3 linked regions of the Drosophila melanogaster genome follow. The protein of the gene in region 2 purifies or fractionates together with the protein of the main gene of each other region. This does not show direct contact. Each region holds a gene or a part of one and is shown on either strand. Other genes may lie near its edges. The genes, in order: Su(dx), Pez and kibra.

Evidence for each region.
Region 1: the proteins of Pez (region 2) and Su(dx) purify together in Drosophila melanogaster (affinity purification with western blotting; one study listed by BioGRID). This does not show direct contact.
Region 3: the proteins of Pez (region 2) and kibra purify together in Drosophila melanogaster (affinity purification with western blotting; 2 studies listed by BioGRID). This does not show direct contact.

What each region holds. Positions count from the first base shown.
Region 1 is NT_033779.5:2,033,002-2,040,869, reverse strand, and holds the start of Su(dx) (suppressor of deltex), read right to left. Parts: upstream 3,157-7,868; 5' UTR 2,646-3,156; intron 2,343-2,645; exon of another isoform or gene 2,229-2,342; intron 1,138-2,228; exon of another isoform or gene 1,066-1,137; intron 941-1,065; 5' UTR 879-940; coding exon 716-878; intron 654-715; coding exon 511-653; intron 449-510; coding exon 1-448. Other genes in the region: lectin-22C, read left to right, coding at 3,623-4,414; CG42296 (uncharacterized protein), read left to right, coding at 4,934-4,988, 5,306-7,868.
Region 2 is NT_033779.5:6,333,782-6,341,649, forward strand, and holds the start of Pez (Pez), read right to left. Parts: upstream 4,891-7,868; 5' UTR 4,867-4,890; intron 4,713-4,866; 5' UTR 4,362-4,712; coding exon 4,277-4,361; intron 3,491-4,276; coding exon 1,534-3,490; intron 1,473-1,533; coding exon 605-1,472; intron 544-604; coding exon 325-543; intron 258-324; coding exon 81-257; intron 27-80; coding exon 1-26.
Region 3 is NT_033777.3:14,719,830-14,727,697, reverse strand, and holds the start of kibra (kibra), read left to right. Parts: upstream 1-3,436; 5' UTR 3,437-4,124; coding exon 4,125-4,387; intron 4,388-7,868. Other genes in the region: CG7530 (uncharacterized protein), read left to right, coding at 371-508, 1,551-1,658, 1,768-2,241, 2,309-2,539. UniProt on the Drosophila melanogaster protein: Regulator of the Hippo/SWH (Sav/Wts/Hpo) signaling pathway, a signaling pathway that plays a pivotal role in organ size control and tumor suppression by restricting proliferation and promoting apoptosis.

The sequences.
Region 1 (7,868 bases), 4.3 Mb from region 2:
ATCTCCTGTGATCTCCACCTCCATTCGGCAGAGGAGAGCGGGTCTCTCCGCCGTTGCTATTTCCACTGCTCGAGCGTAGTCGCATCCGTGCCCGTACTCCACCGTAAATCATGCAACTTCGTCCGGCGGCCGCATCACTGACCACCGACGGATTGACCGCCTGGACGGGTGGATTGCCATTCTGTTGGCCAGCCACTGGCTGAATCTGCAGCTTGCTCATATCGAGTTTGAGGCCATTGAGGATGGCCACTAGTTCGCCGCTCTTCGTCTGGCGATTGTCCGACTTGCTGGTGACGAACAGGTCGATGGTCAGCTCAAGGAACTCGCACCGCCCATTGTAGTGCTGCAGAATGTGCGCCAGGTTGATGATCCGCTCTCCAAGCATGGCATCTTTACGGAAACTGGAGTGATCCAGCACTTTGAAGTGCAGCGTTGAATTGGGTGTAATCTAGAGACGATAGATCCCGTGGATATTACAAATAATTGACTTTTATTACTGTTTCTACTCACCAGCACTGTGAACTCCTCGTTCCACTTGGGCAAATAGCTGTTCTTCACCAGGTCCGTTTTCCGCTTGCTTTTGCTGTCAATCAAGAGCTCCACGTAGGGATTTGGCTTGAGGAAGCCATTGTTGCGCAGCGAAGCCTCCTCGACTGAAAGGATTTGGGGCCATTATTGATTGAACAGAATGTTTCACTTTCTTTTGTTTGCTCACTTGTCACGCTTAATTGATGATATCCTTGATTGGCACTCCCACTGGCCCCCGCCCCCGAGCTGGAGGTGGGCGTGGGGCTGGCGGATCCCGCTCCATTCACTGTCTGCCCGGCTTCCATGCCGCCGGAAGCTGCACCCGCTGGCAGCCCATTTCCATCGGCCATTTAGTGGCTGAGTGTGTGAGTGCTCCTGGTGCTCCGCCTCCTCCTCCGCCTTATATTCCTCCCTTTGAGTGAAGAGAAAGCCAGTATTGAGCACGCTGCTATTGAATATTGGTGGTGGAAAGTATCGAATGGGGGGAAATTGCGTGTTCTGGACTGATAAGATAAGTCCGGAACACGGTCTACATACGTAAATGGTTTATCAATACCCAAAAATGTACAATGCTGTTGAACAGGAAGCTTTTATAGAGTGGAAATAACTATCCGAATAAAAGTGTTGTACACACTTTTGCTAGGTTTACAGATTACCAACAGGCCTTTATGGGAACCCTGAGTGATTTACTAAGCACTTTTTAGGTGTTATGCAGTTTTCCTTAGTCGCTTTAAGCTCTCGACTACTTATACACCTGATCTTAGAAGGCAGATAATGCCAGCTCTATATCATTATGAAAGCGACTATCCGCAGATAAGATATGGCCTGTATAGCTTTGTGTATTATATAGTGTGTAAACGACAGTATGGCAACAAAACTGTTTGCGAATAGGCCTTCACTTTTTTGGTGAAATAAACTGCTCGAACAAATTGTGAGCTGTAAAATCGGCGCTAATGTATGTACAGTGCAACTCGGTCATATATGAAAGATAAAAATTATGCTATTTCAAGCGAAATTAATCATGACCAAACTGGGTAAACAGTTTATTAAAAAACTGAGTAATGTTTCTGATCCCAAAATATATTCTTTGACTAAGTGAGGCTAGAGTTCTAAATTATTGAAAGAAACTTGTATTACTATAGAAATTCCCCCAAATAAATATATAAATGCACTGATAAGTGCACTTGATTTCGTGGACTTTAAACTACTGGGAAGCACCGTATTATCGCCTATTAATTTTCTCCATAATTTGCGACTGCCACGGCTGTGTGCGTGTGTGTTTCCCTGTACTTTTTCGTACACACTCAGCACCGATTGCTGGTCATCCATAACTTTGATAGCAAACACCCCGCTACACAATAGATTGTATAATAATGTTGCCATGTGAGTCATCGGCTCAACGCGAAAAAGAAAACGGCAAGTGAATTCGGTTTCAATTGTTGAATGGCTATTGCATATTGATTGTGTGCAGGAAGCAACATGGCCGATATGGCGATACACAAGCCCACAAATAAGTTATTTTGTTATATATCGTCAGAACTGAAATCTCAATGCTTTAATGACTTCTTCGCTTTGCTTATCGGCATGCTGATAACTACCATGATTTTCTCGCTGTGTACCGTTCGCGATTTCTCTTTTGCTAGCGTTTTCACTACATTAATTAACCGAGAACACGTGAGCAAGTGCAGCTTGTTGTTTACCATTAGTGTCTACTCATCAGATTCTGTGACCGGATTGAAATCGATTTGGAAGGGCTTTGCATGGATCTGAATGGGACACAGTTCTCCGATCAATTAGCACGCACTTTCCGGCTCATTTCGCCTATCATTCGAGCGCTTATCAGTGGGCCGATGAACAAAGGGAAGCTATCTGGTGGGGCAGCCGGAGCGCGAGCCAAGCGAAGTAATCAGCAACAGCTGTCAATAAGCCTAGAATGCACTTCTCGCTCGATGGATGGGGAGGGGTGGTGGAGGGAGGGGAACTTGAACTTCCTTGAATTATCGACCGCAGGGCTTAGTCACCCACACAGCGCCACTATGCTACAGTACACACATATATATGTGTAGATATATATTTATTCGTGGTCATGTAACGCACGCCAGAAAGAAGGTAACTACCTCTCCCACTCCCACTCCTTCTGTGGGTGGGCGTGTGTGTGTTTGTGTGTGTGCGCTTGTAATTGAGGCAAAGGTCGCGACTTCCGTCCCGCTCGCACTCGCTGCCGCCGCTCTACCGCTGGCGAATTCCAATGCAAGAGGCGTTCCTTTTTGTTTTTAGCAATTTCTGGGGGTTTCTCCTCCTCCGTTTTCCTTTCCTTTCTACCTGTGTCTTACCTTCTGCTGCTTCTTCTTCTGCCTCTGGTGCTCCTACAACTTGCGCCTGTGTGTGTGGTTGTTGTCTCCTGTGTGCGGCTGCATGTGCGAGTGTGTGTGCGGGATTCTTAACTGGGTTTCCCGGGCCCCAAAATTGATGGCTGGATTATTGCACTAGTTGGCGCTGCCGCCCTCGCTTTGGTCCACGTAATCGCGAGCAGTTGATATCGCTGCACTAATTGTTTATTTGTTATTTTGCTTCGCTTGCAAGCAGCAATTTCTAGAGCTGCAACTTTGGACGATGTTTTTCGATACAACTGATGTGGCCACTCAGTGCGCGAATCGATAGGTTGAATTCAATTGGCGAGGCTTGTTATGCACGCTAGACTGGGTTGGCGTACTCGCTATATTGCCAACTTACATGTTCAACCAGAGTTGCCGTACAAGCTCAAAATGGAGTAGCCAACCAGATTTGAAAATGACCGCGAATAGGAATTAGGAATAAAAATAAGAACGTATTGCCCGTAGTCACAACAAAACAAAGGTAAATAATTAGCCAAAAAGTTATGCACCAGCTAGTACTTCTGGCCCCTCTGATTTTATTGGAATCTAAGCTTATTACTCCATATAAATTAGAAGCCCCCTGAATATTCATTACTCAGTTGCGTTGCTCATTGAATTTCTTTAAATGTTATTTAATTTTGTGGTGCTATTGAATAAATATAAAAGCGCGGATTCAGTTCATCGAATAACATAGTGTTTGGCAGTAAAAAGTGCTTACAATGCTAAAATCCGCAAGTGCTTTGCTATGTGGTCTTCTTGCTTTAAATTTGTATGGAGCTTGGGCAGAATCCGATGTGATTTGTCCTTTAAAGGACCCTCCTAGTCAATGTGGAGGATTCTGTCTGGGTGTACTTACGCCCGTGTTAAATCACCTGACCATTTCCCAAAATCTGGCGAATTCCAATAATTCAAGCAAGGCTAACGAGGTCCTGGTGAGACAGTACACGATGGAAGGCCAACTGACTGCTCTGCAGAATAAGCAACTAAGCATTGAAGTCGCACTGGATGCCCAAGGCAGAAAACTGAATGTTAACGAACAGAACTTTACTGAACGACTGAATTGCATGGAAGGCATACTGTCGGCCCTGGAGAAAACAGTCCTTGAAGTAAAAACCAAAATAAAATACCTCGGATTCGAGCAAATCGGCTCAAAGTACTATTACATAGAGAAAGTATCCGAGAAGAACTGGTCCACTGCTTCAAAAACTTGTCGCAATATGGGAGGGCACCTGGCCGACATTAAGGACGAGGCAGATCTAGCCGCCATCAAGGCGAATCTCAAGGAGGACACGCATTACTGGCTGGGAATCAATGACTTGGACCACGAGGGAAAATTCTTGTCCATGCCCACGGGCAAGCAGACTACCTTTTTGAAATGGGCCTCGGGGAGACCCTCTCAGTTGGACACCCTCAACTGCGTGTTCCTATACAACGGGGAAATGTACGATTACCCATGCCACTATACTTTCCGGTTCATTTGCCAGACCGAGGAGGAAGATTTAAATGTATGATTTAAATAGAAACCACATGAGAATAATAAAACCTTTGCTGATGCCGTAACACCTGTGATTTTTTATTCAATCCCTCAAGCCTTCATTAGCTTATCTCTATTACTCACTTTATGGTTACTAAATTTACCAGTTTCACGTTATATTGCACTTTTAGACAAACAAACTGCGCACAAAAAGTGAAATTTCCTTGATTCTCCGATCTTTCCAGTAGCACAAAAACTATTTGTTTAAACAATTATTAGCACTCGTTTTAAATACGAGCACTGAGAGCGGAGAGTCCAAGAAAATTCGTCGTATACCATGTTGTTTGTTCGCTTTCGGACTTTTTCACACATTGTCAAGAGTTTCAGAGAACGCGGCTCAAAGTGAAAATTATCAAAATTTAATGTGCCGACCGCTCCGCATCCGCAGTCATTCGTATCGCGGGCTTCGAACGGAGCAGATCGGAACTTACGGCTACGGACTTCGCACTACGGTCGGGAAGGATTACGCGAAGAGGATACGCGAAAAGGATACGCGATGAGGCAGCTGCTGGTTTACGCGTTGGTCGCGGGCTTGTTTTACTTTTCCGAAGGTAAACTCCACCAGCAAGTGTATTGTGCCAGATTTAAATCAGTTTTGGTTTTCCTACTTTCAAAGGAAAGTGTTCATGAATTCATAAACGTAATTCACTGAAGTATCCTAAAAAATAAAAAATGCCTTGAAATGAATAGTTACAATTATTACAAGAAAGTGAATAGCACCTTCCATTGCTTTAAAAATATGTACAAAATGAAACCATGTAGGAAAACCAAAACTTATTATTCGGAAATCTCCGCTAAAGTCGAAGTGCTTTTCCCATGTTAATGTGAACATTACTCCTTTTCCCATTTCCGCACTGGCTTAACGCAGGCAAGCCGTGCCCCGAAAAGACACGCCCCCACAAAACCCGCTGCGACGCCTTCTACAAGTGCCGGGAACTGCCCTCCAACTCGCACGTTTGGATTCCGGTGAAGTGCAACGAGGGATTGGTGTTCGAGTCCAGTTTGGGCAGCTGCGTTCTGCCTGGCGAGGATTGGGAGTGCATCACCCCGAGTGAGATGAGCTCCACGCAGTCGCCACCTGGGAGGCCGGACGCGGACATACTGATAGTCAACGACATGGACGAGGCGGGTCTGCTTTTGAGCGACTCCAGTCACAAGGACGATGGCACCGTGGAAATAATTCTAGACTCCACACTGAGCAGTGAGGAGAATGAGGTTAATGAGGAGGCGGCCAAGAGCAAGCCGCAGCCGGAGGAGGACTTCTCTTCCAATCACAACTTCGACTCGAGCGGCGATGGGGAGCTGGTGGAACTGGATTCCCCCGCTGGTCTGAAGCCCGAGAACCGCGAGGAGGTGACTTCCAGCAGCATGGAGCACAGAACAGAGGTGGAAAAGCTAAGAACGGAACTTAAACAGGTGGCTGGTATCAGCGAAATAGCCAAGCCGGGATCGCCCATCGATCCCAGCCTGACTGCTCACCTGCAGAGATTGTCCCAACTGATTGATGGACTGCAGCAGACCTACCAGAAGACAGATAAACCTCAGACGGAAATGCGACCAGACCAGTTGAATGCTTTTCTGGCGCACTTTGACATCAAGAACCGGTATGAGATGATGAACCCCATGGAGCAGACCTCTTCCACAATCACCACCACCACCAGTACCACAGAAGCACCCAAAATAAAGCCAAGGCTACCGGAACCCACCTCGAATAAGACCCGCCTGCAGGAGCACCTGAGCCACCATCGCCTGGAACCGGAGACGAAACTAATGCTCAGCAATGCCGTGCCCTACTCCTCGCATGGAACCACCGGGCAGGGATATGCCAACTCTCAGATAGTGGTGAATCGCCCCGAAGGCTCTGTGATGTTTGCCCTGCCGCCCAATTACGGAATGAGCCAGGAACAGGGTTCGTATGTAAGCCACCAGAGTCACGAGTACAGCGATCATGAGCCCAAGATATCGGAGGACACCTTGAAGACGGTTCTGGAGCTGTCCAAGCAAATGATCGCCGCACAAAACCTGCCCAAAGTGCTGCCCAATCCGGGCTTCAATGGTGCCTATTACCAACCCATTCTGCAGCCTGTTTTCATGTCGCCCCAGGGCAATCCCTTCCAGCAGTACTACGGCATGCCGCCTCCCTTAAATCCACACTACATGCAGCACAAGAAGCACTCCGCTGGAGGCGGTTCCTCTAGCAATGGCTATAACAAGCCCAGCACCACCATTATTCACAACAATGTGATACCTGTTCACCTATCCAGCACGAGTTCGGGGGAAAAAGAGGTGCTGGACACCTATGGCAATAGTTTGGGGGTATATCCCAGCATGGATAAACATGTGACCGCCAGCCAGGCCAGTGGCATGGAGTACATGACCACAGCTCGGCCCGTTACGATCGCAACTACTGCCAGCACCTACTCCGCACAGTACGGATCCCAGTCCCCGTTCGCCAGTGACTACACCCTGACCACTCCGCGACCCTTTGAGCAGCAACCTTCAGCCGCCACAGTGGCCACGTACTATACTCCAAGTCCGCATTTGGGCGAGCACAACGCGAATAGGGTATACCAACCCACCGAATCGTATCCCACGATGAATATACCCAGACCCATGGACATGTTTCCAGGACAAATCGATGCGGACAGGGTGAGCATTCGACCCAACTCGCAGAAAATCGAAAGCATGGAGATGGACGAAGATATGATTAAGGCCAACTATCAAAGTGGCTCTGGTATTGGGAATGGGAATGGGAACACTCTTCCTCACGTACTGACCTACAGCAGCGACATGAGCCAGCAATTAGCACCTTCGAATGGCTATCTGGAGCAGAGCTATAGCCTCCAGCAGCCGCAGCACCACCACCATCCATATATGCCCAGGCCCAGACCCACGATGAGCAGCAGTATCTATAGTGACTCGGATGGCAATATGGAGATGAGCATGTTCACCAGCAGTCCGAATCTTAACCCATTCAAGGGCGGCAACGTGAAGTACCCAGGAAGCACTTCGCCCAATGGCCAGCTGGTTAACTTCAATGGCAACTTCATCAGCCTGGATGTCTTCCAGAAATCCATACTTCCCCTTATGACCAAGTCGCCATCCGCTTTAAATGAGCTGGGAAACGTGGAGGTCATCACATGCCAGGCGGGCGTAAGACAGCCAAATCAAACTGACTGCACGCGATATTTCGTTTGCAGCAAGAAGGATGGCAAGGTCCTGTCCTACTCCTGTCCGCCTTACACGGCCTTCAATAAGCAGACCAGGATTTGCGATGCCCCCACCTATGCACAGTGCAGCAATGTTATACCTGCCTTCAATGGCTACACCATCGATAGCAATAGGAGGCTCCAGATGGAGGCCATCAAGATGCTGAGTGAGGCCAAGAGGAGACAGGAGGCTGCCTTAAAGGCCCAGAGCATAGCCAGTCT
Region 2 (7,868 bases):
TGTGAGAATTCCTGATACACTTGGAACTAGAAAGTAGAACCTTTGAGGAACAGAACTAAAAGCTTATGCGGTTCACTTACCTGTCCAAACTCGAGACGCTGATGACTGTTACGAGGAATATAGCTCATATCCTCGGTTAGCTGGACCACCAAATACACATCCGCCTCCCATACACACTGCCAGAAGATGCGCATGGTAAGCGGTTCTTGTGGCGACTGGGCCACAATATAGAACCGCTGCTTTGTGCCCACAGTGGCCTGAAAAAGATGTTCCAACAATGAAATACACAATTTGCTTTTCATCTTGAGTGTCAACTGAACGTACAGATATGGAGGAAGCATTAACGTAACCATGCCGATTGTCTCGGCATGGAGTCAGTCGCACTCTGTTGTCGTCATAGGGTAAAAAGTTGGGGTCGTGGTTCTTTGGCTCGTTCTCCTCCAGCAGGGCGCATTCGTATAGGGCATGCTCCCGTCGTTTCGGTATGCGTTCGAACTCCATGAATAGCTGCGAGTCACTTAGCTTTTGGTCTAGGATTTGGCACTGGAAGTTGACAAGCGCTTTAATCGAAATGGATTCCAAATCGTAATAACTTTTAACCTACCAGTTTGTCCTTGGAATATCGTCCAGAAATGGGCTGCGGCTTGTTGACGCCTGTGGACCAACGATTTGGCAGGTTGAGATCGTCTTGGGCTAGCTTTAGCTTTGCCGCCAGCTTGGAGTGCTGACCTGCCGTTGTGGCCTTTTCCCTGCCCAGTGTGGCGGATTTCTGTTTGTCGGGTGTTTTGCTGCGTGACAAAAAGTTCCATCGCTTCTTGCGTTTTAAGTCTTTGCTGGCCGCCGATGAGGACGTGGTGTCCAGCGTTGAGTTGAACATGGAGGATGTGGAAGCTGATGTGTTGGCAGAAAGATTCATGGCACTGAACTGCTGTTGCAGCGTGTCTCCGGCCGGCGTGATCATGTCGACCGTCGACGACTTGTTTAGGCTTGCTGTTGAGCGATGTTGTCGTGGCGGAGGTGTGGCTCCCATATCTGGCGCTGCACTGGCGGCTCGATTGGTCCGCTTAGGAGCCTGCGGTTCCAGGAACAGCAGCTCCGTGCTTGCTGCTCGGTCTGCGCCGTACTTCTTTATGTTTCCATCGTCGGGTGGAGAATTGACAGTTACAGTAACTACGTTGTTGGAGCTGGCGTTTCGAGCAGCTGGAACAGGGACAACGCCTGGGGCGGACTGTATGGAGGAAGCTCTTTGACGCATAGCCTCAGTATTTGCGGCACCACTGCTGCCACCAGAGGCTCTCTGTGGCAGGGGTACATTCTCGTAGATGGGCTCGATGGAACCGTTCACCAAGCTCCTCTGTAGTGGCGCCGGTGTCGCCGATTTATGGGACGAAGCAACCACCGGCGGTGGAAGCGGGCTGCTCGCTGGCGGGGGCACAGAACTACGATATCCACTCGGCGGCAGGGTAGGTGAACTGCAAGATCGTAGCGAAAAGTATTGTTATATTGTTTATTTTACGACTTCATTACACTTACCTCTGCGTTACCACAGATCCGGCAGCTGCAGCTGCTGCCTGACTCATCGCTGACTGTCGCAGCTGGGACATTATAGACGGCTGCTCCTCGATCATGTTGAGGTTCTCGAAGGTGCCGTGCGGGGGCAGATAGGGCTGCGAGTGCCCCATGTGGCTCACGTACTGGTACTGGTGCAACATGGTGGCTCCGGAAGATGTTGGAATATTTCCGGCATGTCCGCCTGCGGGCAGAGCAACGTACTGACCGCCATTGAAGAGCGTGCGGTTAGAGACTAGATCCGGCGAGGAGCCGCTTACGTAGTTGCGGAAACCCTGAAGGGGACGGGGAGTGGCCACGGCCAGATCGGGCGTGGAGGAGGAACTCAGCCGATTGACATACGGCGGTGGGGCCTTGTGACGCATCATATGCATGCGCTGCGAGAGCTCTAGGTATGCCTGGGCGGGGCTCATGGGCTGTGGATGTGACTGCGGTTGATGCTGTGCCTGGTACAGGTTGATGTGGTGGTGTAGGGCAGCCGCCGGCTGGGCCACGTCCGGATAACGATGCGCAGTCATATGACCATACAGTAAGTTCTCGTTGTGCATGCCTGGATTGTGTACATCAGGCTGGGAGCCCGCATAGTAGGCATTTCCGGGCGCGGCCATTGCCAGTGCCACATTGTGGAATTCCGCCGATGGTGTGCGGTACTTTAGTTGGACCGCCGTCTCATAGTCTGGTGCCGGGCGGTATGTGGGCAGCATGGCTTTGAGGCGCTCCCGCTCATCGTTGTTATTGTTGTTGTTGCTGCCTCCGTGGTGCAACATGCCACTGCTGCTGTGCAGGTTGTTGTTGCTCAAATCCAGGCAGGAGCTGCTTTGTCCCAACATCTGGTTAGCGCTGGTAGCCAGCGAAATGTTGGAGGAAATCATCTGCTGCTGCTGAATCTGTTGCTGCTGCTGCATATGTTGCTGCTGCTGATGATGCTGTTGCAGTTGCTCGGCGGCCGCCGCTTCATTGTAATCGTAGTCGACATAACCAACGCTGTCAACGCCCAACGGACCACTCTCCGCATCCGCACCACTTCCCAGGCTCGAGGGCGTGGCCGTGTCAATATAGCGCTTGAAAAACTTATGCTGGCTAATGGTGAGCTTCCAGAAGTAACGTGCCGTGTCCGCCTCGCTGAATATAAAGCTTCCCACGATGCTGCCGCCACCATCCAGCTTGTTCTGCTCGATCTTAATCGTTCGCTTGTCGATGGTCACCGTGTGGAACTCCTTCCATGGAAAATACTGCCGACCGTTGTCCGCGTTCACCACCATCCCGTTGATGGCCAGGCCCAGCAACAAATCATTGCCGAGCGTGTCCTTGGCGGCGAAACGTTCCTCCCCATACCCCTCCAGCTGCTGGCAGCACTGTATGTACATCTCCTCCGCCTGGCTCTGACTCAGATGTGCAATGCCCGCCTGCTGCTGCAGGACCTCCACGATCAGTCCCTCCAGCATGCTGTCATCGTTGGCCAGGCCTTGCATGTTGCGCGGCAGGACCAGCGACTTCTTCAGATAGTCCTTGCTCTGTTTGTCGCCCTGGTAGCTATCGTACTCCGCCTGGCGGCAGTAGAGCGCCAGCAGTATGGCCGTGCGGATGTCACAGGCGATGCGGCCCTCGTAGATGTCGCTCTTCAGCTGCAGAAAGTAGTAAAAGCGCGTGGCTTCGTCGCTCAAGTGGCGCACGCCAGTGGTCACGTAGTGGCGAACGCGCAAGTAGATCTTGGGGCCCGCCGCATACTTCTCCAGCTGCCGACTGAGCGAGCGCTCCAGGTCGATCCATTTGAACTCGTCCTCCTTGTCCTTGCCCTTGACCAGGTAGCGCAGTCCAAAGAACTCCGGCTGCTGGATTAGCAAACGTTGGCAAACGTTGTCCAGGCACTCCTGTCCCTTGCTCTCCGAGCTGATCGTGCAGTCCACTGTGCTGGATGTGTCTGCAATGTAGGTAAGAGTGAAAACGTGCTTCAAACATCGGCCTAAGTCGCTCCAAGCACTCTAAATTCGCCGCACAACAACAATTTGGCCCTGCCCGTCGCACGCGCAAATATGCAAATAAAGTTTATAATCTCTTTCGAGACCTTATACGTTTTATGGACGGAAATTGTGGCGGCGCCGCTCAATTGGCTTCTCTCATCTGTCGTATTTCCTAACTAACGAAACGTAGGCCTAATGTCTAAAACCTTTCTGATGGTTGGAGAAATTTGGGTGGTTTTAATTGAGTCAAGGTCTTCAGTTCGCTTGCCAAATAAGTACATTCGGTTAAGTGTATAAGAACTACAAAACATGCTTTTGTTTAGCCCAAAATCGAGAGTAAATAATATACAAAATGTGAAGTACGCAAAGTTAGGAAGTTCTCATAGGCAGTCTGTTAGTTTTAGAATTAACGGTCGCTGTTATGTGTCCTGTGCGCCTCTGTTAACTCAGCGACTGTTAACTAGAATGCAACAAGTGAAGGCATTTTTGTGGTCTGTGCCTTGGAAGGCGAATTCCAGCTAAACTGGAAGTGGGCGCCGCATGACAATCGTTGTGCACATTCCCAATTAAATAATCCCAATTGCAATGGCAGACGGCAGCTGTTAAGTTGTGGCTTTGTCACCGATTTCTTGTTGTTTCTATTGTCTCGTCTCCACTGTTGCTATTGCTGTTGTTGTTGTTGTCGTTGCTGTCGCTGTTGTTGTTGTGGGGGGCGTAGCGCCTCTAGGAATGTGGGGCTTACTCACCCAGCAGGTGATGCACTGATATAACAAACAAACTCTTGGACGTAACATTGTACTGGCGACACTTTTTCAAGAATTTCAATGGCATTTTTCGACTATTTTGCTCCACCGGGGCTCCGCTGGGCTCACAAAAGTGGCTAAAACGGCAGCACCATCGACACCACAGGTTTTTTTTGGGGGAGTAAATTGCTCAATTGGAATTAGCCGATTTGAATCAGCTGATTAGACACGCAAACCAGAGCACTGCGCGTATTGGTTAAGTAAAGTTAAAGATAGTAATTGGGCAGTTAACGACAATAAATAAAGGAATTCACGAGAAATAAAACGAAGAGACCGAAGTGCTGATATCGATACGCAGGTGCTGACTGAGTATCTCGGTGGCTGGCATCGAATGGATCGATAGGCGGCATTGACTATCGGTATGTCTTTGCGCAGTGGGCTGCAAGAAAATAGGTTTAGTTCTGTTAAAGAAAACAAGTGCAACCAAGAAATATGTAACTGAAACAAAACAGTTTATATTTTAAAATATATAACAATGCAGTCAGCAGTGATTAAATAAAATTCCTAAAGATATTAAAACCACTGATACACACGAATACTTCGTTGTACACAGCAAGAGAATAACGGTTTCTAGCGAACAGTAAAATATCAAACTTAACAGAGCTACTGGACACATAGGTGGCGTGCTGGCATAGCTCTGTTATCCGTTCCAACTCCAGTGCTGGAAAGTGCGCGCAACTGAGAAATCCACACCGCGATTCGACGACGGTCCCTCTGGAATTCAGTAATTTAGTACTGCTGCTGCCGTGGTAGTCGTCACTTCCCCTTTGCACTTGCCGCCCTCCGTCAACGTTTTATCGAATAAAGCGAATTAAAATTAAGATCGTGGCTTCGCCCCGCTGCGTAACTGAATAAAGCGAATTTAAATCAAGGGCTTTGACGTCTGCCAAGCTGCTGAGAGGGGCTGCAACAGGAAGAGCACCAGAGACGGGGCACAAATCCACATCCACATCCACCGATCGTCGTCTATCTACAGAGGATTAGGAGCAGCGCAGTCGGAGATCGCGATCGGTGAGTTTCGAGGAGCCGAATCACAAGGCCACGCACTGTCGAAATCCAAAAAGCAAAACCCGATTACCAAAATCGAAATCCAGTCCATAATTAATTTGCTGCTTAGATATTTCGAGCGCTGCATTGGCGGTCAAGGTTGCAGCGACGAGGACAGATGATGGAGCAACCGTATCGCTCACTCGCTCGCTCACACACACACACACACACAGAAGAGCCCTGCGAGCGAGTTTAAAGTTCAGTACCTGTTGCTGCGCTCGCCCAGTCTCCCTCTCCCTCTCGCTCTCGCACAGCCTCGCCGCCGCCCGTGCGATAGTGCGCTCTCGCTCACTCCGTCCGCGCTGCGTGTAATTTAATTTAATTCACTTCTGTTATTAATTTGCGCTATTTGCACGCTGTATCGCCGCCTTTCACGTCTCAAACCGAGTCGTAGGCCGAATTGCATAACCAAAAACGCGACTCGGGTCGCCAATCGGCCATCAAGTTACTTTTCTGCTCGTGGCTCTCCGCTGAGAACAGCTGTCGACTGTCTGCTTCCCGTACAGTAAGCACTCGATATGAGCGACGAAGCTATGTTCTTAATTTCCGTTAACCTGCCTTTCCTTATTCAAAAAATCAACATTTGAAAATCCTAAGTACACCAACTTTACACATTTTCCAATTGGAGTTGGCGTTGCATTTAGTTTCCAATTTATTAAAAACAATTTGTGAAAAAAGCCAACCGATATATTGTTTTATGCTAATTAAACACACACACATTAATGACGATGTAAACAAAATCCTAGTATCAAAATTTACTACAACGAAATTGAAAGTGGCTTAGTTCGAAAAGCCGAAGTGTGTATACTCTTGCTGCCTTGTATAACTGAACTCTGTAAAATCGTTCCATTTTGAAAGAACTAAGAACTTAGTAGGAGATACTGCAAGTCTAGGTATGTACGTACATACATATTTACATATATATAAATCAGTTAAAATATAAAAATTGTACATTGTTGTACACTTCCTAAGAACTTTTATGGATAAAAATTAGTTCTCTGAAATTCAAGTTCAAAGACAAACTAAATAAATATATTATATTATATGTTATGACACCCCATTATAGGGTTACCTACCTATTAAAGCTAGACTATTAGTTCTTCCAATTAAAGAACCATTAAAAGGGCAGGTTCCGTAATGGGATTACATTTAATGGACTTCGGTTAAAGTGAGCGCGGAGTTACATTTCATCCTTTCCAGACAGCCAAACTAGGTTTATGATAACGAAAGCCACTTGGGCGCGAAATAAATATGCATAGTCATGCTTACTTTATAATTCTCCGTCGATTCGGACGAGTAATTCGAGAGTGTCATCGTGTTTAGGGAATTTTAAAATCACATATGCCAAGCGAGATTCTAAGCGTTATCACGCACATTACAAGTGTGTAGGGTGATACTAGATGGGCGTTTGTTGTGACTAGATCGTAAACTTTGTTTGAATAGATGGCTAAGCAGAAATAACCAAGATCATTCATCTCATTCATTTAGATTAACTACTTAGTCGTAAACTAGAAAAAGAAGCACTCAAATAAAGAGTGTTTTTGGAGGAAACATATACACATTTGAACGAGTTAGGATCTATTGTTTCGTAAAAAAAACTAAAGAAACCGAATTTATGTTAACATTTTTGGAACATTTGTTGGTTTTCGTGATATATATGTGTGCTTCCTAACACAATTTAATCATTGCGCTGTCGTCATTCCGTCAATCGAACAGCACACATGGGTGACCTATAAAAAGACGCCAATTTTATGTTCACCTCCACTTGTTGTCAGTGTTGGTTGTTATCGGGAGCGTCGAACACATACCTTCCTCGAAATCGGACGAGAATGACGATACTGGCGTCGATTTGCATATGCCTCGCATGTGTTTAATATTTATTTTCTGCCTTTTGCTGACCACAGCAACAAGAACTATTACGCGACTCTATACAAAGTTCACGCACGTAGCGGCGCATTAGCAACATTAAAGCATTAAGTCAAACCCGAATTCAAGGTGAAAATTCAGTAGAGCTCCTTAAGCCCCCACAAAACAAAAGATAACACCTGGGATCAGCTCAAACTTCCAACTGCTTAAGTTGAGAGTTCTAGTAAAAATGCTTTCGGCACTAGTTAAAACTCAAAGCAGTCGGGGCGAATTTCATTGAACTCCAAGTGTGCATTTCAAAACCCAAACTCTAGCTTAAGTAAACCCTCTCAATTTGCATTTCCTATGCTTTTTTTTATAAATTCGGGTAAAGAAACGTATACAAACCGTATATGTACATTAAAATCTTTAAGTACTTCATAAACTGAATCCTAATGAAAGGGAATGTATTTTGTTTGGGATGATTTTAATCCGATTTCACATTGACAAGTACCAAAGCCTTTGCTTAGTGCAATTGGCGATTTCCTGGAACAACGGCTGGTAAAGGTGTTAATCGAGTGATTGGAAATCAAATTTCGTTATTTTGCGCCGCTCAAAGAGTATTTGCTTGGGAACAGCGCAT
Region 3 (7,868 bases), on a different chromosome or scaffold from region 2:
ATTTTTGCAATGCTGGTTAGTCGGTTGGTTGGTTGGTTGGTTGTTTACACACGAAACCGAAAACCCCCAGACGAAAACAACAACAACAACAACAACGTATAAAATAGCAGAAACCGCAGAAAAGATAATAATAAAATAAAAGCAAACAAATCAATTTTTCGACTGCAGTTGCTCTATTGGCTAAAAATATACACAAATGTGCAGAGAAACAAACCCGCCAGTTGCCAACGTCAGTTTTCTAAGGCGGAAGAATATGAGTATAGATCTTGAGCATCGTTCTTGTCCTCAATTCAAATTAAGTTTCGAATTGCCGCTAATCGATAGGGTTTCCTCCATTTTAACTAATTCCATCTTAAATCTCTTTTCGCAGCTTGATGGCCAACTGGTTGCGGATTCGGTGGACGCAGCGCATCAATTTCCGTCCAATGAGGAGCCCAATATTCTGGGGCATGGACCCAACTACGACGACAAGCTGTCCAAATTCAAATGGCTGTGCAATTTCGATGATGTGAGTTAACCCCACGCGCGAACTTTGGTAGGGTCAATTTGTCGCCAATTGTCGCGCACTGAATTCTAATTGATCGCAAATTTTGTTTGGCGAATTGAAAAAATACGTCAGAATCAGGGACAAATCGCAGAAAATATTCACTCATTGCATTTTACATGGCTTTAACACTGATTTTGGCCAATTGTTATCGTCATACGTATGTATGTATGGCCAGAAAAGCATTATTAAGCGACCGTTGTAAAATGGCCAAAACGCTTAAATATGTGAAATCCGCCATGGCGGTCGAGTTGGCAGCAATTGCCAAATAATACAATTAGACAACGAACAAACCCACCAAATGCCAACTGAATCAAGGTCGCGACTAGCAACAAATAAAAAGCTCTGTGCTTCGCGGGCATTAAATATTTAAATAGCGGTGGCAAATAAAAAGAAGCTACTGTTGTTTTCTTTGGGTGGTATGCAAGTTACATACATATATGTTTGTGAAAATCCTCAAGGTAACTCCCGAATCGAATTTCTTGGGTTTTTCGGACCATGCTTAGTTTTGACCAAGTTAAATATTCGACTTCGAACTGGGCTTAAAACGGGCTTGAAATAATTACTGTTTCCGATTGAAAGGCATTAATTAAGGTAATAATACATAAATGCAGTGCAAAACTAGCTTAGCACTTGTTTAACTAATTAAATGGATTTTTTATAATATATAAAACTTAGCTAGTTAAATTCAAAGAAAGTAAATAATATACACAGTATTTGGCATTTAATCAATTCCCATACAAGATTGCTAACAACACAAATTGGATTAATTAGTTTTATTTTCTTTCAATTGAAGCAAATGGAAAGCTTTTTGGTTTTTTTTTTTTACATTCGGCGGGGTGCCAGATCCTCGAATTATTCCGTTTGTTTCTATTTTATTTTGTCATTTTGTCTATTTGGTTTTTATTTTATTTTCAATGCTACACGCATGCGATTTGCATGTCTTATCGGCTTGGAAAATTTTGTATTTATTTGGAATGTTTATTCACTTGTGCTTTCGATACAGGCCCCCAGTCACCTGAAGTTCAACCCGTACATTCGTCGCGGATACCGCACCTTTCTACCTTCCACAAAAATGTGCCTGCAGAGCATTTTCTGGTGGACCAATGAGACGGTAAGATTGCCACACTAGAATGATACTCCATTCCAATTGGAGCTACAATAGTTTTCCTTAAACTCTATTCCCTATTATTATAACATTATTATTGCTATATTTTTCATAGATCAACATCTGGAGCCATCTGGCCGGTTGCATCCTGTTCATTGGACTGACCATCTTCGATCTGCAGTTCCTGCGCCTCCACGCCTCCCTGAGCGACCAGGTGCTGGTGGTCTGCCTGCTGGTCTGCTTCTGTCTGTGCATGCTGATGTCCGCCATATACCACATCTTCTCCTGCAAATCGGAGGAGCACTACGAGCTCTTTCTGTCCGTTGACTTCCTGGGCATTTCGCTGTCGCTGGTGGCCATCTATATCAGTGGCATGTACTATGCCTTCTGGTGCCACACCTTCCTGCGCACCCTGTACTCCACGATTGCACTGGGCATGTTCGCACTGGCCATTGCCGTGCAGATACCCCGTTTGAATGTGTCCATGAACGGCAAGGTGGCGGTGCTGCTACTCTGGTCTGCCTATGGAATCATACCTCTGGGCCACTGGGCGGTGGCCATGGGCGGTCTGGAGAACGAGCTAGTCAGGGTAGGCATCAGTTGGAAATTTATGGAATCTTGTCATTTGCTAATCCATCAATCATTACCATTTGCAGCTGATGGTGCCCCGCATCGTGCTCATGTACTTGCTCTGCCTCGTCGCCTTCGTTTTCTATGCGGCCAAGATTCCGGAGCGCTGGTTCACCGGCAAGGTGGACTTCGTTGGGCATTCGCACAACTGGTGGCACCTGATCATCGTGGCCGCCTTCTATCACTGGCACAACACCGGACTGGTCTATGCCGAGTATCGCCTGAATAACGGATGCACTGCACCAGTTCTCTCCTAGAACTTGAAGATCCGAACATCTGAGTTAAGATCCGAAGATCCGAGGAGCGGAGATGGAATCCGGGACTCTAGTAGACTAAAGCTTAGTGTAAATAGTTTATGGGGCGCTCTTTATCCGCTAATAACTAATATTTAGTTGTAGTTGTTGACCGATATGATTAATTTATGTTTAATTTACCAATTAGTTAGGGTTTCGTGTTAGACAATCCAGATCCAGATAGTTGGCATCGCATAAGCGGCAAAAAGGTTTCTCTCTTTATATCCTAATTGATTTCCTTTAATATATACAATTAAACAATGTCAATGAAATTGCATGTGTCTTGAGCTGAAGCTGTGTTAGTCTTGTTGACTCAATTTTTACAATTCATAAAATGCAAATACAATATCAAACGTACAAAGCAAGCGAAATTGTGGTTTTATTGAAGTTATGTTTCGGAAACATAATTTATTTTTCTATCTATGGTTGGGATACATATTGATTTCGAAATGCGTAACTCAGTTTACAGTCTTTTTTTTTAAATTTTTTCTTTTTCTGTTTTTAAAATGTAACGGAAATGTTAGGATTAAGATAACAGTAATTGTTAACAGAGCGAGTTAACATGATCTATCGGAACTGGCTTTGATTAACATCGCTTGAAGAACCGAACTAGTTCCTGTTACCAAGCCGATCTTTGAACGTACAACTCCTATTTTCTTCCCTCAACAATTACACCTATGCTTGGGGACTACACAAGCCAAATAACAATAAATACTTTTCGTGCATGATTGTTAAATATCGCATCTCTGCAACCGCGTCAATACAGCCTATAATATCGATATCAACCAATACATCGAATAACATCGCCGCGAGTGTATCGATATGCAATGCGATGTTTTCTGCTACACCACTAGCAGCGAATGTTACCAAAACAAATTCCGAATCCGAATCGGACGGTCATCAAGCGCGCTACTCGTGTTTTTTGCTGCTCCCCCAAGGAATTCCGGAACCGAAGAGATCGGCGACGGCGCGAACTCACTAAACTGAAGTACATATTTTTTTGTGAACACCAAGTGGATGGTTGGATTATCGTCGTTAATTAGTTTCAATTAGGCGAAAATAAGAAAATAAGTAAAGGAGTTCAAACGCTTGCAACAACAAGAAATGAAAAGAAGCAGCACCAACTGTGAGCAGTGATCGTGTGCGCTTGTGTTCGTCCCCCATATGTGTGCGTGTGTTTGAGCTGGAATGGAATGCAGTTACGAAAAAAGTAAATAAATAATTGAGAGCGCGCCCGCGCTCTCCCGCTCTCTCTCCCCTGCGCGCGTGTGTATTCGAGTTGGCTCGGTGTGTGCCTCTACGCCCGTCACCGTGTGGCCGTGTTGTGTGTGTGTGTGTGCGGGTCGGTCTCCATTATCGCCGGAGCAAAAGAAACGGAATTGAAATGTCTTTGCTAATGTAAACAGCGCAAAGAGAAACCCCCCGAAAAAAGAAGCAAACGTAGATAGCAATAGCGAAAAGAAAGAAAAGGCGCGCGTCGGGTGAAAAATCCAGCAACAACGACGTTTTCTCAGACTAACCAAAGTACACGGCGAGAAACAAAGTTAAAATGCCGAATCTGCAACAAACCGCATCGCAATCGCAGCATCATCTGCATCCCCACCACCTGCGACCCCAACAGCAGCAACAGCAACATCATCATCATCATCAACAACAGCAACAACAACAACACACGCATCATCAGCAGCAGCAACAACACCACAGCGACTTCCCACTTCCCGATGGCTGGGATATCGCCAAGGATTTCGATGGCAAGACCTATTACATAGATCATATCAACAAGAAGACCACCTGGCTGGATCCCAGAGATTGGTAAGTGTTCCGGAAAGGGTCAATTAAAGAAACGAAATTGAAACAAGGGCGATCTGAAATATAATTATAAGATATTTGCATTTGGAAAGTTAGTTTAAACTTATTAAAACTACTAGAACAATTATCAGAAATGAGGCATACATAACGAATGACCAAACCAACAGGTTGTGTTTTAAATAAGTTATAGATGCTTTAACATCGCAAACTATCAAGAGTGCTTATAAACCCCAATTGCTGCTTAATGGCTAATAAGTGAAGCAGATAACTCATTGAGAATCAAATTAAAATAGAATAAAATTCTTGGCAAGTTGTTAGTGGCTTAAGAAGGCATAAAACGCAGGTGAGAGATCAGCAGTTCACTCATTCAGGAAGCTCCGGCAAACGAGCTAAAAAAAAAACCCATATAAATTCCGATTCCGAAGCGCTCTTGAACCGGAAAGAAAAGGTGCGTGCTGCAGCTGTGTGTGTAAAGGAATGCGATCGGTGGAGGCGAAATGAAGCAAAAAAAAAAAAGAAAAATAAAAGGAAAATAAAATAAAGAGGCAGCAGCAAAATAAATTACATATTTTAAACAAGACAGCAGCGGCAGCAGGCAAAACAAAACGCAACGGAACGGGGGAAAAACTTGGAGTAAACATTCCGATGCGATGATTAAGACTCCGAATATAACTGAACTGAACAGAGAGTGGCAACAAACAAAAAATGGATTGTAAAGCCAGGGAAATACAACAACAAAAATTCGAGTGAGAGAGAGCAAAAGTTAAATAAAGCTCGGCGAATGATCTGTAAAATAAAAGGAAAACAAAACCAACAAACTCATACGTAATGAGTGCGAGAGAGCCAAAGGAGAGCGAGCGAGAGCGCTGGCGATCAGGCCATGTATCTCATAGATACATTTTAGTTTGCCGTTCGCTCACATTTTTTGTCTTCCATCTCGCTCGCGCCCCTCGCTGCCGCCCCACTCGCCATCTCTGTCTGTTGCTTTGCCCATAAACAATTGCAAAATGTACGTAGGAATTTTTGCAGTTTCGAAATAATTGATTTCTGAAATTCTTCGCCCTCTCTTTCGCTGAGTTCAATTTTTCGCTTTTCACAGATAGAGAAATGTGTAGTGTTAGATGGATTTTGTATCTTCAATTGCTCGATAGCAAATGCTTATTGCCTTTCTGCAGTTGTACAGCATTTTCATTGACATTAGACACACTCTATAATTTCAATATCACGTTGCAAATGATTTATTAAGCCATCAAAGCTTGAATATTAATTTTTTCCAGTGCATTTCTATCTGTGTACGCCTTATTGTTTCAGTTCGTTTGGTGCTGTGTGCGCTTCACGCTTTCAATTAACACAAACATTCCCTTTGTTTGTTTCAAATCGCATGGACATTGTTGAAAATGTTTCACTGAATTAAGCGTTGTGGAATTTCAGCTCTTCCGCCCGCCCGCCTTTGAAATTGAAACGAAACATCTGCGCATTTGCTAGGGTTATGCATCAAGTAGATTATAAATGCACACATGTCGTTCAAATGTCTGCCAGTGGGCACAAAAAGTCAGCGATCTATGAGCGTTACGTTCCGATTTCGGGGTTATAGAAATTTAAAGCTTAAATGACCTTAGGGGATTTACTTACTATTTGAAAAACCAATCAGATTATGAAGAGGGATACCATAGAATATAAGAAATAAAAACAAGAGTAAATGTTTTATTGGTATTTTCTGTATACATCTGCAAAGTATGTCTTCGAATTTAACTAACTATTCCATATTTTTCCAAAATAGTTTTACCATTTCTATTGACCAAACAAAACTATTTAATGCTGTATACACCCCTTATTGGTATTTTGCCCAGTCGCGCATATTTTGTATCCAAATCATATACGCTTTTTGGTCCCCTCTTCGGCTGTCTATCGATCCCCCGCATCCAACTTGCTATTGCTATTGAATTTTCAAAATTGCTGCCGGTAGCGCGCAAAAATTCCAATAAACCATAAATAAATTTCTACAATAAAGCGAAGCGAGCCAGGCCTCGGGCAACCTTTAAAGGCCTCGCCACGTTTCGAGCACAGCCAACAGAAATCACAGAAAAAATAAATATCTATTCCAATATGAGCATGCAAGGTCGAATTATCGATACCCTTGAAATATTTTACCGATAATTGCTTGGGCCGGCTTTGACGCAGGTTTTTCTAAGGTTTTCTAAAATTAAATAAACATGTTTGCAATAGTTTAACAGTAGATTCTGTTTGTAATGTCTATAATTTTCAAATTCGGCTTAAGTTTAGGCATTATCCTCATTAGATAGTAAATCGTGTAAGATTCAATCAATTAATTAGATGACTTTTGTCTGTAAACTAATAAAATGACTGATCAAAATAATGGATTTTAAAATTCGCAGCGTATTCAACTTAAGTAAATGTTCATACAGCATTTCGACGGGCGGTATTTTTTGTGATTTTCGTTGCTGTTGGCTCTCTTTTGTTTTTTGTATAAACAAAAGTTAACAACGACTTGACTTGGCCATGCGATTTGGCATTTTTTCGACGCCCGTCTTCTTCTTTCGTTGCTCATATTTTTTCGCAAGTTTTTGTGTATTATTTTTTTTACCAATTGTTTAGCCATAAACAAGGCGGCGACATAGTGGAATATTTTTCGTGTGCGTTTTTAGACAGAAAACGTGTTTGGTGACAGTATTTCGATCTATTCATAGGAGCTACAAAAAAAAGAAATAACCAAAAAAGCACGGGGAAAAAATCAAAGTATGAAATAGCAACAAAATCGTTTGGCTACCAGTTGGGATAGTGATTCGAACTCGTTTGTTTTACATAAACTCAAATCGCCGCCAAAAAGGCCTAGCGAAAGCGGTTAACGATCGCTGTCATAAGTCGGACAGAGTGGCGCCAGCGGCGGGGGCTGTACTTGAGTATCTGCATCCGATCGGTAGCACAGAAAAAGATATAAAAAAGCAATAGGTGCACCGCAAGAAACGGTGCAACGGTATTCTAATAAATGAGTCAGTTCATTGGTATATCTTACTACATTAACTTAACCTTATCATCAGTATGTTGCCATATTTCTCGCTGTGTACTCTAGTCCCAACCAGATTGTTGCGTTCTAATTCCACCTGTGGCATTTTAATTCGAGAGCGGACAATCGAGCGGTTGGTTCGATTTCGATGGATCGCCGGATGGCCGGATTGCTGGATTGCTGGATTGCTGGATCGGCCAATTGCATAAAGAACGCAAATCGGGCGATCGAAACAAGAGCTGCAAAATAGGGGAGAGGCGTGAATGCGTGTGCTGCCAGGCATTGTGCATTAGATGTGGCGATTTCTATCCGACTCAAAACGAGCTAAAAAAATTTGCATAAAATTCAATTTGGCTTTTGCGGCGAAAGATGCCAGCACATCCATACGCGTATGTATAAAGATACATGCATATATAAGTATAACTATTCGTACATATATATAGATATATATATATATGC